2 linked regions of the Diceros bicornis minor genome follow. The protein of the gene in region 1 purifies or fractionates together with the protein of each later gene. This does not show direct contact. Links are inferred from orthologs where the notes say so. Each region holds a gene or a part of one and is shown on either strand. Other genes may lie near its edges.

Region 1 (7,756 bases):
TTTGCAACTTCTGGGAGGAAAAGAAACCAAGTCATGTTATCCACACAATCCTTGCTTCTGCCACTTCCTCCTACAAGTTCAACCTGGCCGCTTTTCCGCTTCTCCTGAAGAGCAGTTAGGGGAACAGCAGCCACTCAAACCAGCTGGTAGCAAGTCTGTGGAGGGGCCCAGCAGTGGAGAAGGAGCTGAAGTTTCTGACACAACTTCATTCACTTGGTCGATAAATAGTTAGTGAGCTAAAAAAAATTTAAACTGTTCTAGAGCCCCTTAAGGCATCCCACCCACAGTAATGCGGCTGATGAATGAACTTGGGGAGCAGCATCCCCAGGTCTATACTTTTAGCAGGTCACTCAACTCCTCTGAACCTCAATCTACTCATTAGGAAAATGGGCACAAATGTCCCCACTCAAAGATGTTTGGGCGAGATCTTTGTGACTGTCACATGTCATACAATGCCAGTGGATGCAGCACCCTCAGACTTCCCGGCAGGAAATACTAATGGTAAGGATATTCACCCCACATTGTGCATAGTAGCAGAAGACTGGAAAGCAACCTTTCCCAGACGAGGAGCCAGGATAACTGCCAACAGCACGCCATTCTCTAGAATACTAGGCAGCTAGTTACAAGGATGACACAGTTTTCTAAATTTTATGGGTGGTTGGTTTATCTGTTTATTAGTCAGGGGAACCTTTTTGATATAGAATATCTTTGACAAAACCCTAAAATATAAAACAGATAAAAGCTGAATCCCTTGGGTTGAGCCAGAGTGGAGAATCCAGAGGCCTGGCTGCGAGGGCTCCCCTGAGCAGCCCCAGCAGGACCTCCAAGAAACCCACGGCTTCCAGCAATAGGATCCAGAAACCTCTGGGGTTGCTTCAGTTGTACTGTCACAGAAAGATGGCAATATATCAGTAAGTGAAAAAAATAGCTCCATTAAGGCTCCAAATCAGCAACAAGAGTGTGGTGTAATATCACTTTCGAAAAAGAAGTTATATATGTGTAGCTATGTTTGCAAACACAAATTCCGGAAGGATGCACACCAACATATTAAAGCACATATTAATGTGGTGTGGTCTGAAGTGGTTTTAATTTTCTTTATACCTCTCTACTTTATCTTTCATTTTGAAAATGTCAGTGTCCTATCTTTACCATTATTACTACTAAACCACCAAGTCAGAAGTATGTGCCTTCACCAAGCGGCTCAGCTGCCCTGTATCCCTGGGCAGAGGGCAGCTGGCTGGCATCTACAGACTCCTGGTGGTCAGGGGCCCTAAGAGCAGCAGGAGGCCCCACCTGTGCCTGCAGCATTGACTCGCTGCACTGCCACCTGGCTCCACGCACCAGGAGCTGCCCCACAGTCCAACACCCGGAGGCCGGGCCGCAGGATCCGGTGCCTCTCGTTCACCTCCAGAAGCTTGAAGGCACTTCGACACCGGTAACTCTCCACCTTCGAAGCCTTCACAAACGGGTCTTTCAAATGCCGCGTCAGCCACAGGTGCTCAGCGCCTGTCCGACCCTTGTAGTGACTCCCAGCAGTGTGGAAGCTTTGATGCCGAAGGGAAGCACACAGCAGCTTCAAGGACCTGATGAGAGAAAAAGGGAGCAAGCAGGTTGGCATCATATAGACCCACAGGTCACGAGCTCAGTGTGGCCCTTGGTTCAACCCAAGCATTTTATAGGCCCAAAAGGGGATGCGACTTGACAAGGCTACACAGCCAGAAAGCAGGTGTTATGGGCTGAAAATTCGTATGTTGAAGTCCCAACCCCTAGTACCTCAAAGTGTGACTGGTCTTTAAAGAGGTAATTAAGTTAATATGAGGTCATATGAGTGGGCCCTAATCCAATATGACTGGTGTCCTTATTAAGGGAAAATTAGAACACACACACACAGGAAAGACCAGCAAGAAGACAGGCCTCAGAAGAAACCAACCCCACTGACACCTTGATTTTGGAAATCTAGCCTCCAGCACTGTGAGACAATACATCTCTGCCCTTTAAGCCACCCAGTCTGTGGCGCTCTGTTATGGCAGACCCAGCAAACTAACAAAGCAGGCATCCACCCTTCAGTCAAGAAGTGTTTCTTCTCTCCTGAAGTTTTCTTCAAAAGGAAAACTCAAAAATCAACAACAGTCACCTTATTTATATCAACCAAAATTTTCCCAGTACTGGTTAATAGTAATGATAAAATTAGCAAACATAATATTCTTTCTCAGCTGGTACTAATATTCATTAGGCTCTGAGACTGTGAGAAACCCCATGAGGACAGGTCCTTGCCTTAGTGACTTAGTTCCATGGCTTCAGTGGCTAGCACATGGCCTGACCTGTCACATTTCTTAATAAAATTGAAATCAACCTGTGTGAATAGTTGAAGGGCCTCTCCGTGCTCTTCACAAGCTTCACTTCTACCTGCAGAGCCCCCTCACCTAACCCCTCCTCTTCTCTCCCTGCACGGCCAGCTCACCTGCCCCTCCTCTTCTCTCCCTACAGGGCCACCTCACCTGCCCCTCCTCTTTTCTCCCTGCACGGCCCCCTCATCTGTCCCTCCTCTTCTCTACCCGCAGGGCCACCTCACCTGTCCCTCCTCTACCCATAGGGCCGCCTCACCTGTTCCTTCCTCTTCTCTACCCGCAGGGCCCCTCACCTGCCCCTCCTCTTCTGAAGCCCTCTACAGCTCTCTGCCCTCCCGTCGCTCCTGGGGAGGCTTCGCCGACTGTGGCTTCGTGTTTGCAGTCCTCCTCGAGCCACCTCGCCGGGCTGACCGTGTCGGGGCCAGGACAGAGGTGGGACCTGCGCCCCTTCGGACGAAGAAGAGTGGGGCGGCCCTGGCCACTCCCGCCTCCCGCACGCGTGCAGCAGGCGCTCCAGAAACGCCGCCTGAGCGCACGGACGCCCCGCTCTCCCCGGCCACGGCCCCTTCGCGGCTCACCTGGCCTGCTCCCCGGACCCCACTCCCCGACTCCCGCTCACCGGGCCATGGGTGCAGAGCTGCTCCGGCCCCCTGCTGCCGGAAGTGCCCGCCTCGCTTCCGGCTCGAAGCCACGCCCCCGGCGGCGGCGCGCATATTCAGAAGGCGCGCGCGGAACCCCAGCCAGCGGAGACCGGTAGTGAGCCGGGTGAGCCGGGGATAGGGGAGGGGGCGAGCGGGCCAGGGGAGCCGGGGATAGGGGAGCGCGGGTCTGGGTTGGGGGGCAGCTTAGCTGAGGCCGCAGGAGATGGATCAAGGACTGGGGTGAGGGCTTGGGGGCGCCGGGCCCCTGGGAGGGACGGCCAGGGAACCTACATTTAGGAAGTGCCCGCGCTCTAAGTTTATTGTCGCTTTCAACCCTGGTAAAGGCCTCAATTTACAGACTACTCGACTCAGAGGCCACATGGCTAACAAGTGGGGCTGCCCAGCCCTGTTGCCAGTCTCCCGGCCCCTGACATTAGGTCGGCTCTCTGAGGACCCGTCTAACCGTAGTGCCAAGCCGCCTGCTCCGGGAGATGTGGGCCAACTAGACTTCCACATCCAGTAGACCCAGGCTTGGGTACTGGCTCCACTATTTAGCCTCTCTGAGCTTCAGTTTCCTCCTCTGAAAATGAAGAAAGTAAGTGTTAGTTTTTAGAGTTGTTGGGTCTATTAAATGGGATAATTTTTGAAAAAAAATATATAGTCAGTGCTTAATAAGTGATAGCTGACATATGCAGTATCCATCCTCATCACCGCCACAGTTTACTTAGGAAGCCAGGACTTGGGGTGTGAACAGGTCAGCGTCAGGACAGAGTATGCAGGCCTAAAGGGAGACTCCGCCACAGATACCCACTTCCTCCACCACCAGGACCCAGCTATAGGTCCCTTTTCTCAAACAGGGTAACTTCCCAGGAGGATCCTGGTCCTGAATCCTGTGTCTAATCTGGTGTGGTCCCCAGAGTAGGAGACTTGTGTTCGATGAGCCCCAGGCTGGGATAGGGATGGATCAACAGAGACCTTGGTCCTGGTTCTCCAGCAGCAACCCAGATGTGACCCTCAGGGTCTCTTGCTGGACCATGCACACGCATTTGAGCAGGAGGGGCCCTTGTGGATCCAGTGCCCTCTCTGAGTGCCAGGTCCCAGAGCAGCAACGGTTGTGAGCAGAGTATGAACTCCTGTCACAGGACGGAGGACCAGCCAGGCCTGGCTGGGTGGACTTTCCACTGTCGGGAGCATTTCTTGGCAATCTGGAGGTCTGCTACTGCAGAGAGGAAGAAGCCAGATCCTAGAAGGCCACATTAATGAAAAGGCCAAAGCTAAAAGCCTGACCCAAGAACCGTTGGATAAACTGCATGGTTATCTTGGTGTCAGTGGGGCACAGAGGCTGGACTACCCTCCCACTTCTGAAGAACAGCTCTGTGCCAAGGAGTGGGGAAGGGGAGATGTGGCCATTGCCTGACCTGCTGCATCAGCCCTGGCAAATGAAGGGCCTGGGCACTGATCCCACTGGGCTCTGAGGGCCAGGCCTCTTTTTACCGCAGAAGATCATTTGTTCAATGGCAGGCTTCCACCTGCACCGGGCAAGCCACACATGGCAGAGCTTAGAAATTACCACCAAGCTTCCCCTCCCTGCCTTCCAATGCACAGTTCTGTTCCAGCTGGACCCTAGTCACTGCAGTACACATGCTTCCATCCACGCCCAAGTCAAGCTGACCCAGCCCTCTTGCCTTCCTCATAGAACCCAAGGGGACCATGGGTGCCTCCAGGCTCTACACCTTGGTACTGGTGCTACAGTCTCAGCGAATTCTCCTGGGCATGAAGAAAAGAGGCTTTGGGGTGGGCCGGTGGAATGGCTTCGGGGGCAAAGTTCAAGAAGGAGAGACCATCGAGGACGGAGCCAAGAGGTAAGGGAGGGGTAGGTCTGAGCCCAGGACCAGCTTCTGCAGGGGATAAGGATTTGAGCTGTAGAGCCAGACCCCTGATGTCACCACTTAGAGCCGTGTGACCTGAAGCATGTACTTAACCCTTGAGCCTCAGTTTCTTCATCTGCAAAATGGGAAAAATAACGGTACCTGTCGCTTAGGATTGTTGTGAAGATCAAATGAGAAAATAAAGAACTTGGAACAGTGCCTGCCACGTGGTAAGTGCTGAGTACATATTAGCTGTTGCTATGGGGGTTAGGACGTATCTGGGAAGCTGCTGTGCACATGGCCTGGGTTGAAAAGTTCTGGCTTTCTCTTTCTAGCTAACAGGCCGGTTGGTCACTTGTCACTTGGTTTCTTGGTTTGTTCAGGGGGTTGAAGATGAGGGTTTCTATCTGAACCCTTTTGCACACACAGTCTCAGTTAATCCTCAACACAGCCAGTTTCACATGAGAAGGAACTGAAACCCAGAGAGGTCGAGCAGTGTGCCCAAGATCACACAGCCCCCCAGACTTCAACCTCTTTGCCCCTCTTCACAGGCTTGTGTGGATAAAATGAGATTGTGTGTGTAAACATCGCAAAGCACTACACAAACCTTAGCTCCTGCTGATGTTCTTCTTACTCTGAAAAAGGTTGGCAACCTGAAGTCCACTCTCCCTGGAGAGGGCAACAAATCCCCAAATGCATACTACCGAGGTTTCTGGAAAGGACGGAAGCTGCCGATGCTGCAGCCCAGTAGCTTTCAAGTTTTAGGGTTTTTTCCTTAAATCACAGCCCACAGTAAGCAATGTTTATACTCTGATATAGCGATGCCCTTACTACATGAAAGCGTGCTCCAATATAATTTTTTTTAATTGCCAGTCACAATCCACTAAGTTGACCTCATGGTGCATGACTGGGTCCCAGCCCCCAACTTAAAAAGCCCTGCAGGTGGTGTCCCTGCATGCACCTCCCCTCCCTAGGCCTGGGACCCAGGGCTGCTGCCACACGGATGCGTCTGGTCGTTCATTTTGGCAAGTGCTAGGCAATGTGGCTGGAACCCGCTGAGAGGACACAGCTGGGAGGAGACCCAGTCTGGGGAGACTCGGGCATCCAGCCCTGTGAGCAGTGCTGGGGTGGGAAGGGTGCAGAAGAAACAGCATGGAAAATGGACAGCAACAGTGGGTGCCAGAGGTCTGCTTTGCCATCCATTTGAATGTCTGTGTCCTCCTGAGACCGTTCACCGGGTCACTGATTTATGTAGCACCCACCACCTAAGCACCGCTCAGTGTCGGGACACAGAGGTGCGGGTCCCAGCCCCTGCGGGGCTCCTACCTGCTCTGGCCCCCGGGTTCAGGGGGCTGTGTACAGACAGCAAGTCTAGTGAACACCCCTAGTGGTCTGGGGCATCCAGCATAGGGAGGGAGAGCAAGTAACTGGGCATGAGGGAAAACTCCCGAAGGACCTGAGTTTGGTCGGAGGGCCGGGTGGAAGGTGGGAATGCAGCACTTGCAGAAGCAGAGGCTGCAGAGGCAGGGCCCGTGCAGAGGAGTGTGGCGTGGCCAGAGGGCCGGGGAGGGAGGGGAGGCCGGATGGACAGGCTGAGACCGCACAGGAGGAGCCCCAGGTGGCTTCACTTCAGCTGTGCTGGTGACAAGCAGACTTCAGGCCCCCCAAGGCAGCCCTGATGTATTTTCTTATGAACTTTCTCAGGATCTAAGGGACTTTCCTTCCTGCCCTCTCAATATTATTCATTTCTTCAGTGAGACACAGACATAAGAAACCGTGACTCCAGACCCTCAGTACTGAGTATAATGGTGGTCTTTCCTAAGACCAGGTCTGAGATAGGGGAGGAACCTGAAGGACAGAGCAGGACACATGTAATTTCTATCCCCAGAATATAACTCGAATCCATCCGGGTCTCACTTCCTCCACTGCCGCCGCATTCAGACCACCCCTTCTCACCTGCACAGGTGCAGTAGCCTCCTACCTGGCCTCCCTGCTCCTCCGGTTCCCTCCGAGGTCCTTCACACAACTGCCTGCTGGGTGACCTTCCTGAAACTACGTCTGGGTCTCTTTGTCTCTGTCTCTGTCTGTCACTCATTCACACATTAACACCCTTTAATAGCTCCCAGCGCACTTGAATCCAACCTCCTGTGTCATCCATTGAGCCCCCCCAGGGTCGGGCCTCACCCCTCCCTCCCATTCCTGCCCTTCCCTCCCCACACTCTGCCCCTCAGACACCCCCCTTTTCCTGGCTCCTCATCCGGCGGGCCCCTCCTCAGCCTTCACATGTAAGAAGGTGCCCCCCACCCCAGCTGTTCCCCGTTAAGTCTCATCCTGTGTATATATTTCCTTCACAGTACTCTCACCCTTTCTAATCATATTTAATTATTCCCTTTCCATCTGTCTTCCCCCAGAAGCGCTCCATGAGGCCAGGTCTGAAGATGTTTTATAAGTCAAATTGGTGTTGAAATATAACATGCATATAGGAACATGCACAAATCTTCACCAGGGAATTTTTAGGACACGGGTCCACCTATTTAACTGGCACGTGGATCAAGAGATGGAAATGGAGCGGGGACCCTGCCCTCTGAAGGGCAGCCTGCACCCTGACTTCTGTCATGGTGATGATTTGGGCCTATTCAAAATAGCACATAAGTGGAATCCTGCAGGATGTACCCATTGTGTCTGACTTTTTCCCAGCATTATGCCTGCAGGTAGCAGTGGTCCATTCGTTCCCACTGCTGTATAGTATTCCAGTTATGAATATGCTGCAGCTTATCCATTCTGTGGACAGGCATTTGGGTTGTTTGTGGTTTGGAGCTGCAAGTAGTTCTGCTAAGATAGCCGTGCACAGTCTTCGGGAGCCCGTGTGAACTTCTTGCTGGTGGATATTTCCCTGGGA
Region 2 (6,987 bases), on another chromosome or scaffold:
AAATTCTTTGTGGCACTAATAGAATTAAAAAGTTAACAGAAGACTAAATTAGATAATCAAAATATAAACTACTGTAACTAACCAAAACAATCCACTGGTGCAATGAATAACTGAACAATGAAAAAACCACCAAGCTTTCTAATCAACGATATAGCTCACTTTTTGCATATTTCAATCTCAACTTTTAGCACAGTAAATTCTTATGTGGACTGCTTAAATTTTGTAACATTACATTAGTAATTCAAACATTACCCTTTCTAAACCAAATCTGTGGTCCTAATCACTTTTTTTTTTTTCCAGAAAAAGGAGAGGATATCTTTTTAAGATACATTCCATAGCAGTAGAAACATCTCGGTGTTTCAAAATATTTACAAAGAACCCTGCTGATCCTGTGCATTTCGCTGAGGTGCTACCTGTACCCAGACTTCATCATCAGAAAAAGAACTTGAACTTCCTGACTCAGAGTCCAGCTCACTGAATCCGTCTAAGTCCCATTCAGTACTAGATTCACTCCGTGCATCATCTTCCTCAGTGATGAAACTCTGACCAGGTTCAAGGCAGGAAGGATAAACCCGAGCACAGAGGCAAATAAAGCCAGAGTCAAATTGCAATAGACCTAACATAGTACCTATATTAATCCACTGGTCTTCCCTAGTATCATATTCATACACAGTCACCCGGTTTTTTTTCCACTGTGGGGTGGTAGAAGTGATGAGGAGCAACTTTTGGCCATGATTGACAATCTGGTAGTTATGGGTCTCTGAGTCCAAGGGAATATTACTAATCCGCCTCCATTCTCCCCTGGCTGGGTTATAGACCTTCATGACTGGGATGTCACAGATACAATAGATCTCATCATTGAAGACACAGGCTTCCTGAAAGTCACTTCGTTTAAGAGAAGCACAGTTCAGCCACATATTGTGGCTAGGATCATAGCAGAGCATGCGTTTACTGTTCACAGCATAAAGATAGTTCTGAACCACTATTAGTTCAAAGGAATAGAAGGAATGGGGTACAGGAGCCACCAGCGCCCACTGGTTCCTCTGAACACTGTAGCATTCCACTTCCTTCAATTTAACTCCGGTAACAGGGTCTCGCCCACCCAAAATGTAAATGTAGCCATTGAGGTATGCCACATCCATGCCCTCACGGCAGAGTAAGCGGTCTGCAAGTTGCTGCCAACTATTCTGGGCTGGTTTATATACCCAGAGGTCCTTCCTGGGCTGGGCAGCTAGATAGATGTCATGGTCTGGAGAGACACAGACTGCTGAGGAGGTGACAGTCTTAGTGTGAGCCAAGCTGGTCAATGGTGATGGCATTGTGTAAATGTCCCCCGAGTACGGGTCATAGCAGAGAAAGGGATCTCTGGGATGTCCAAAGAAGATCACCATCTCCTTGGCACACATGCCCAGCCTCTGGGGTGGATTTTCTGCTGCGGATACAACAGAGCTGCTGCTGTCCTCTGACTTAGGCACCACAGACTTGTACAACATGTCACTGCATCGCATCTGCAGGGCCCCTTCAATAAGGTCCGGACAGTGCTTCTTCACAATGGGCTTGGTCAACAGCCCTTCCAGGTAATCCTGATCTTCATCAGTGAATTGTGTCCAGCGGACACACTTGAAGACTTCTGCTGCGCTAGGCCCACGCTCCTTGGGAGCCGCCTCCAACCACTGCATGGCCACATGACACACTGTCCGCTCACTTTCGATGTCTAGACTATCCAAGCGCAGGACAGCCACCAGCTGGGCCAAGGTCAGATCTGCCAGAGTCTCCTCCCGAACTGAACTCATCCGGCTGAGCTGCTTGAAGTTGTGAGCTATAAAGGACTGGGCCTGCGATCGCAGTTTGTGATGGTCGAAGGCGTCCGCAAACTTGAGGATAGCGGTGCAGTTGGCCAGGTCTAGGCGGCGGGCTAGGAAGGAGGCACAGGCTTCTCGCACATATTCCAGCTGTAGCATGTCGGAGGCCGCGTAGAGGCGCTGCACGTTGGCCTCGCTTAGAGACACGCGACCCGTGTAGCAGTAGTCAACTAAGACCTCGAAGGACTCGGCATCCACATCGTGCATAGTCACGCTCGCCTGCTGGCTCTCGTACATGCCGCCGGTGAACATGCTCTTGAAGTAGGGACACGCGGCAGCCAGCACATTACGGTTGCAGGAAAATAGGCGGCCTGTGCCAGGCCCGCTGCCAGGTGTCACCACCTCGATGGTCACATCGCATAGCAGCCGCGCGTCGTAGAAAGACTTGAGCTGTGCCAGCAGGGCTGCAGAATGGGCCGTGTCCTTCAGCTCCTCCGGGCCCGTGAAAAAAGCCGAAACCGAGGGCTTGGAAATCCTCTTGGGCCGCCTCCCCCCGCGGGGACTGGCGAGGCGGCGAGAACGCGGAGCTTCTTCCCGGGACTGCATGGTGGAGATGGCGGCGCGGTGCCGAGGGCGAGGACGGGTGCAAGGACCGGGCTCTGGCTCCTCCTCACCCTCCTCTCGCCGGCGCTAAGATCGCGGTCTCCCTGAACAGACTGTCGCAGGGGCCGCACTTCCTCAACTCAGCCCTACGCCACGCTGCTGCCTCTCTTTATCGCGTAGACAGTGCCTGACTCACCCTTTTCCAGTTCCGCGCCCTTTCTCCGCCTCAGCTCGCCCTCACAAGATCCGCTAGCCGGAACAGAGAGAGCCGCCACTGCCGCGCTGGCAATACCGGTACGCGTCCAAGAGAACTACGGCTCCCAGGTTGCCTTTCGCGCCTCGAGGCATGCTGGGGCCCTCCAGACTCACCGGCATAGGCTGACCAACAGAAGCCGCTTTGCATGTCGGGAGTAGTAGTTTGAGTAATATCGCGAGGCTTCTTGGGGTGGACTGCTTTAGCTAACAGAATCAAAAAGCGTTAATTCTCCTGGATTGGATGGTTTAGAGCATTGTCTTTGAAGTCCAGAGTAGAAGCCTCGTTTTAGTATTTGTTAATTGTGTGACTTCTCTCTGAGAGCTTTCCCCTCTTTGTAAAGTGGGGATAATAGTATTCATAGGATTGTGTGATGGATGGAATGAGATAAATTGAGTAGGACATAGGATGCTTCAACAAATATTTGTTGATTAGAACAATAATTAATTAAATGCTTACACTGTGCCTAGAATATATTCAATCACTGTTAGCTTTTCTTTTAGAGTTTTTGAAAAATGAGGCACCTCCTAATTTGAAACCATGAGCAATTTCTGCAAAGAAAACTTCCAGCTTTTAATGTTGCTTCTTTTGAAAGGTTCTGAAGGGTACTGCAATATTTTCAATACTAAACTGTATCCATAGATTCATTAGGCTGTCTTTGACAGAGATGAGGTCCTAGTGAATAACATTTATAGATGTCCTCAAATATGCAAATCAGGCTTCTAAATATAGATGGATTGGCATCTCACCAAATCAACACATCTCCTGAGGAGCAAGATTATTTTCATAAGCTCTTAATATGAATGTTTTCTAGTCGTCTAATACTGCTTCTTTCACTTCCTTTCCACAAATCAGTTGAAGATTCTGAAATGTTTTTATTAAGGAGTTTTAACGCGAGTTTTAAATTAAGATATTTAAACAAATAGGATCTTGTACAAAAGCACAAGATCCTCAGAGTTTGGTATTCATATATGCCCTGATGTTCCCTGAATTAATATAGTACAGTCTATGCTTTATAAAAGTATTTTTTATATATATTGATCAACATTGTCTGTTAGTTAAATCGTCAAAATCAAGTGCTTAGAGATTAACTAAAAAAACAGAGAACTTTTATTTAAAAACCGAACTGCTCCTGCTACTAGTTTGCAGTGGTTCCCATAACCCAATGAACGAAATCTTTAGTGTTACACGAATAGGTGGATAACTCATAACAGGAGAATAACTCAGTCAAATTGTTTTTCTCTCTTTTCCTGTTAGCTGAAGAGGGTCTACTGGAAATACCCTAAGACAGAGACATTAAACTAAGTGGGGCTCTGGGCTCCAATATCTCCCCTGTACCTCTGTTGGGTATCCCTCAGATAAACCAGAGAGAATTAAGTCACTAGTAATACCAATTGCTTTCTCACCTGCACTAAACACCAGCTGGGGAAAAAGCAGTTAAAAAAATTTTTTTGTATTAGTACAATATATGTAACATAATATTTACCATTTTAACGATTTTAAAGTGTACATTTCTTGGGCGTTAAATACATTCACATTTTTTTGCAACCATCACCACCATCCATCTCCAGAACTCTTTTCATCTTGCAAAACTGAAACTTTGTACCCATTCACAATAACTCTCCTTTCCCCACCCCAAAACTCCTGGTAACCCCCATTCTACTTTGTGTTTCTTTGAATTTGACTACTCTAAGTACCTCATATAAGTTCAGTGATTGATTTTTAACTTTCTTATATCTGCCCTTTGTTATTTGGTTTAGCTAACCCTTCACAGAATTCAAAATATTTAGTAGACACTGTGCCCTAAGGTCTAGAGCAGTGCTGTCACAGAACTTCCTGCGATGTTGCAAATATTTTATATCTGCACTGACTGATACGGTAGCCAGAAGTCACCTGTAGCTCTTTAGTTCTTGAAATGTGGCTAGTGCAATTGAGGAACTGACTTTTTGGGCCAGCCTGGTGGTGCAGCGGTTAAGTGCGTGCGCTCCGCTGTGGCGGCCCAGGGTTTGTGGGTTCAGATCCTGGGCTTGGACTTATGCACACCGCTTATCAAGCCACACTGTGGCAGGTGTCCCACATATAAAGTAGAGGAAGATGGGCACGGATGTTAGCCCAGGGTCAATCTTCCTCTGCAAAAAGAGGAGGATTGGTGGGGCTGGCCCGGTGGTGCAAGTGGTTAAGTCTGCGTGCTCCGCTGTGGCGGCCCAGGGTCCGCCGGTTCAGATCCTGGGCACGTACCAACGCACTGCTTGGCAAGCCATGCTGTGGCAGCGTCCCATATAAAGTGGAGGAAGATGGGCACGGATGTTAGCCCAGGGCTAGTCTTCCTTAGCAAAAAAAAAAAAAAAAGAGGATTGGCAGATGTTAGCACAGGGCTGATCTCCTCACACACACAAAAAAGAGGAGGATTGGCAACATATGTTAGCTCAGGGCTAATCTTCCTCACGAAAAAGAAAAAGGAACTGAATTTTAAATTTTAGAAACACAGCATTGGTATCAATGCAATTCAATGGAGAAAGGAAAGTCTTTTCAACAAACAGTGTTGAACAACTGGATCACAATGTGAAAAAAATTAACCTTGATCCCTAACTTATACCATAAACAAAAATTAATTCAAAATAGATCTTAATATTAAACAGAAAAGTGAAACTATAAAGCTTCTAAAAGAAATCATAGAAGATTATCTCTGTGACTTTGAGGCAGGCAAAGATTTTTTAGGACACAAAGAACACTAACCTTAAAAAAATTGATGAGGGGCCGGCCCCGTGGCTTAGCGGTTAAGTGCGCACGCTCTGCTGCTGGCGGCCCGGGTTCAGATCCTGGGCATGCACCTACACACCGCTTCTCCGGCCATGCTGAGGCTGCATCCCACACACAGCAACTAGAAGGATGTGCAGCTATGACATACAACTATCTACTGGGGCTTTGGGGGAAAAAAATAAATAAATAAAATCATAAAACAAAAAAAATTGATGAAATGAACTTCAACAAGATTACAAGCTTTTGTCCATCAAAAAGCAGTAAAAACAAAATAAAAGGCAAGCTATAGACTGGTAAAAAATATCTGAAATACATATACCCAATAGCCAATAAATATATGAAAAGCTGCTCAATGTCATTCATCATCAGATGAATGCAAATTGTATTCACAATGAAAAAACTCTGCACATGCACTGGAATGGCTAAACTTAAAAAGATCAACGATACTAAATGTTGGTGACAATAGGGAGCCATTGGAACCCTCATATATTAACAATAGGAATATAAATTGGTATATCCACTTAAAAAAACTGTTTGGTAGTTTCTCTGAATGTTAAATGCCCAATAATTTCACTCCTAGGCATTTGCCCAAGGGAAATTAAAACATCTGTCCACAAAAAGACTTGTACAAGAATGTTCATGGTAGCTTTATTCACAATATCCCAAAACTGGAAATAATCCAAACGTGTATCAATAGGAGAATGAAAAAAATTAATTGTGGTATATTCATACACTGTCATACTACTCAGAAATAAAAAAGAACCTTTGCACATGCAATAATGTAAATGAACTTCAAAAATTTTATGTTAAACAAAAGAAGCCAGATATACAAGAGCACATACTGTATGACCATTTACGTGAAGTTCAGAACAGTGAAAATAAGGTATGATGAATAAAAATCATTATAGAGGCTGCCACTGTTGGGGACAGGGGGTTGGCAGATTGCTGAATTGACTGGAAAGGAACACAAGGAAATTTTGGGGGTGAAGAAAATGTTCTCTTCTTGATTGTGCTGGTGGTTACACGGGTGCACGCAATTGCCAAATTCAATGAACTGTCTCTTAAGATCTGTGCATTTAATTTACTTTAAATTATACCTCCTCTTAGGATGAGCCACTTCATAATTACTGGCACTAAATAAAGTTGCAGAATTCTTTGCCAGGAAAATTGTGAAGATTGTTCAGTCAAAAATAAAATAAGACTCTTCTCATCTAGAGGTATATGGGCCAACATTGCTCCAATTCTCACTAGATGCAGAGCTCCATACACCTGGGACAGGGTGCCTCAGGGCAATCTTCAAGGATTTCAGTGTACTGGGATCTTTCAAATTTGTAGAGTAGCTGAGTGCCCAACATTACATTCTATTATTCTTTTATTCCTGACACAACTTCAGTAACAGCATTATTATTACCTAACTATCTGTGTTTCCTCAAGATTTCTGGTAATTTGCATAATCCTCTACAATGGAATCCACATTCTTCTTGGCAGGAAGATAAAAGAGCTGTTTTTGCCTGATACATAAGCCTCAGTCATCAGCAAGCCATGATTTTAGTCCTTCAAAAATTTTGA

What was found. The genes of interacting proteins can lie anywhere in the genome.
Region 2: the proteins of MRM2 (region 1) and KBTBD7 purify together in Homo sapiens (co-immunoprecipitation; 3 studies listed by BioGRID and IntAct, counting the BioPlex papers as one, with this or other methods). This does not show direct contact. The link is inferred for Diceros bicornis minor from reciprocal best matches to the Homo sapiens genes MRM2 and KBTBD7.

Annotation. Positions count from the first base shown.
Region 1 is NC_080765.1:12,306,209-12,313,964, reverse strand, and holds the start of MRM2 (rRNA methyltransferase 2, mitochondrial), read right to left. Parts: upstream 3,011-7,756; 5' UTR 2,976-3,010; coding exon 2,968-2,975; exon of another isoform or gene 2,932-2,967; intron 1,584-2,931; coding exon 1,294-1,583; intron 1-1,293. Other genes in the region: NUDT1 (oxidized purine nucleoside triphosphate hydrolase), read left to right, coding at 4,700-4,851. UniProt on the Homo sapiens protein: S-adenosyl-L-methionine-dependent 2'-O-ribose methyltransferase that catalyzes the formation of 2'-O-methyluridine at position 1369 (Um1369) in the 16S mitochondrial large subunit ribosomal RNA (mtLSU rRNA), a universally conserved modification in the peptidyl transferase domain of the mtLSU rRNA.
Region 2 is NC_080748.1:35,095,147-35,102,133, reverse strand, and holds the start of KBTBD7 (kelch repeat and BTB domain-containing protein 7), read right to left. Parts: upstream 3,004-6,987; 5' UTR 2,409-3,003; coding exon 369-2,408; 3' UTR 1-368. UniProt on the Homo sapiens protein: As part of the CUL3(KBTBD6/7) E3 ubiquitin ligase complex functions as a substrate adapter for the RAC1 guanine exchange factor (GEF) TIAM1, mediating its 'Lys-48' ubiquitination and proteasomal degradation.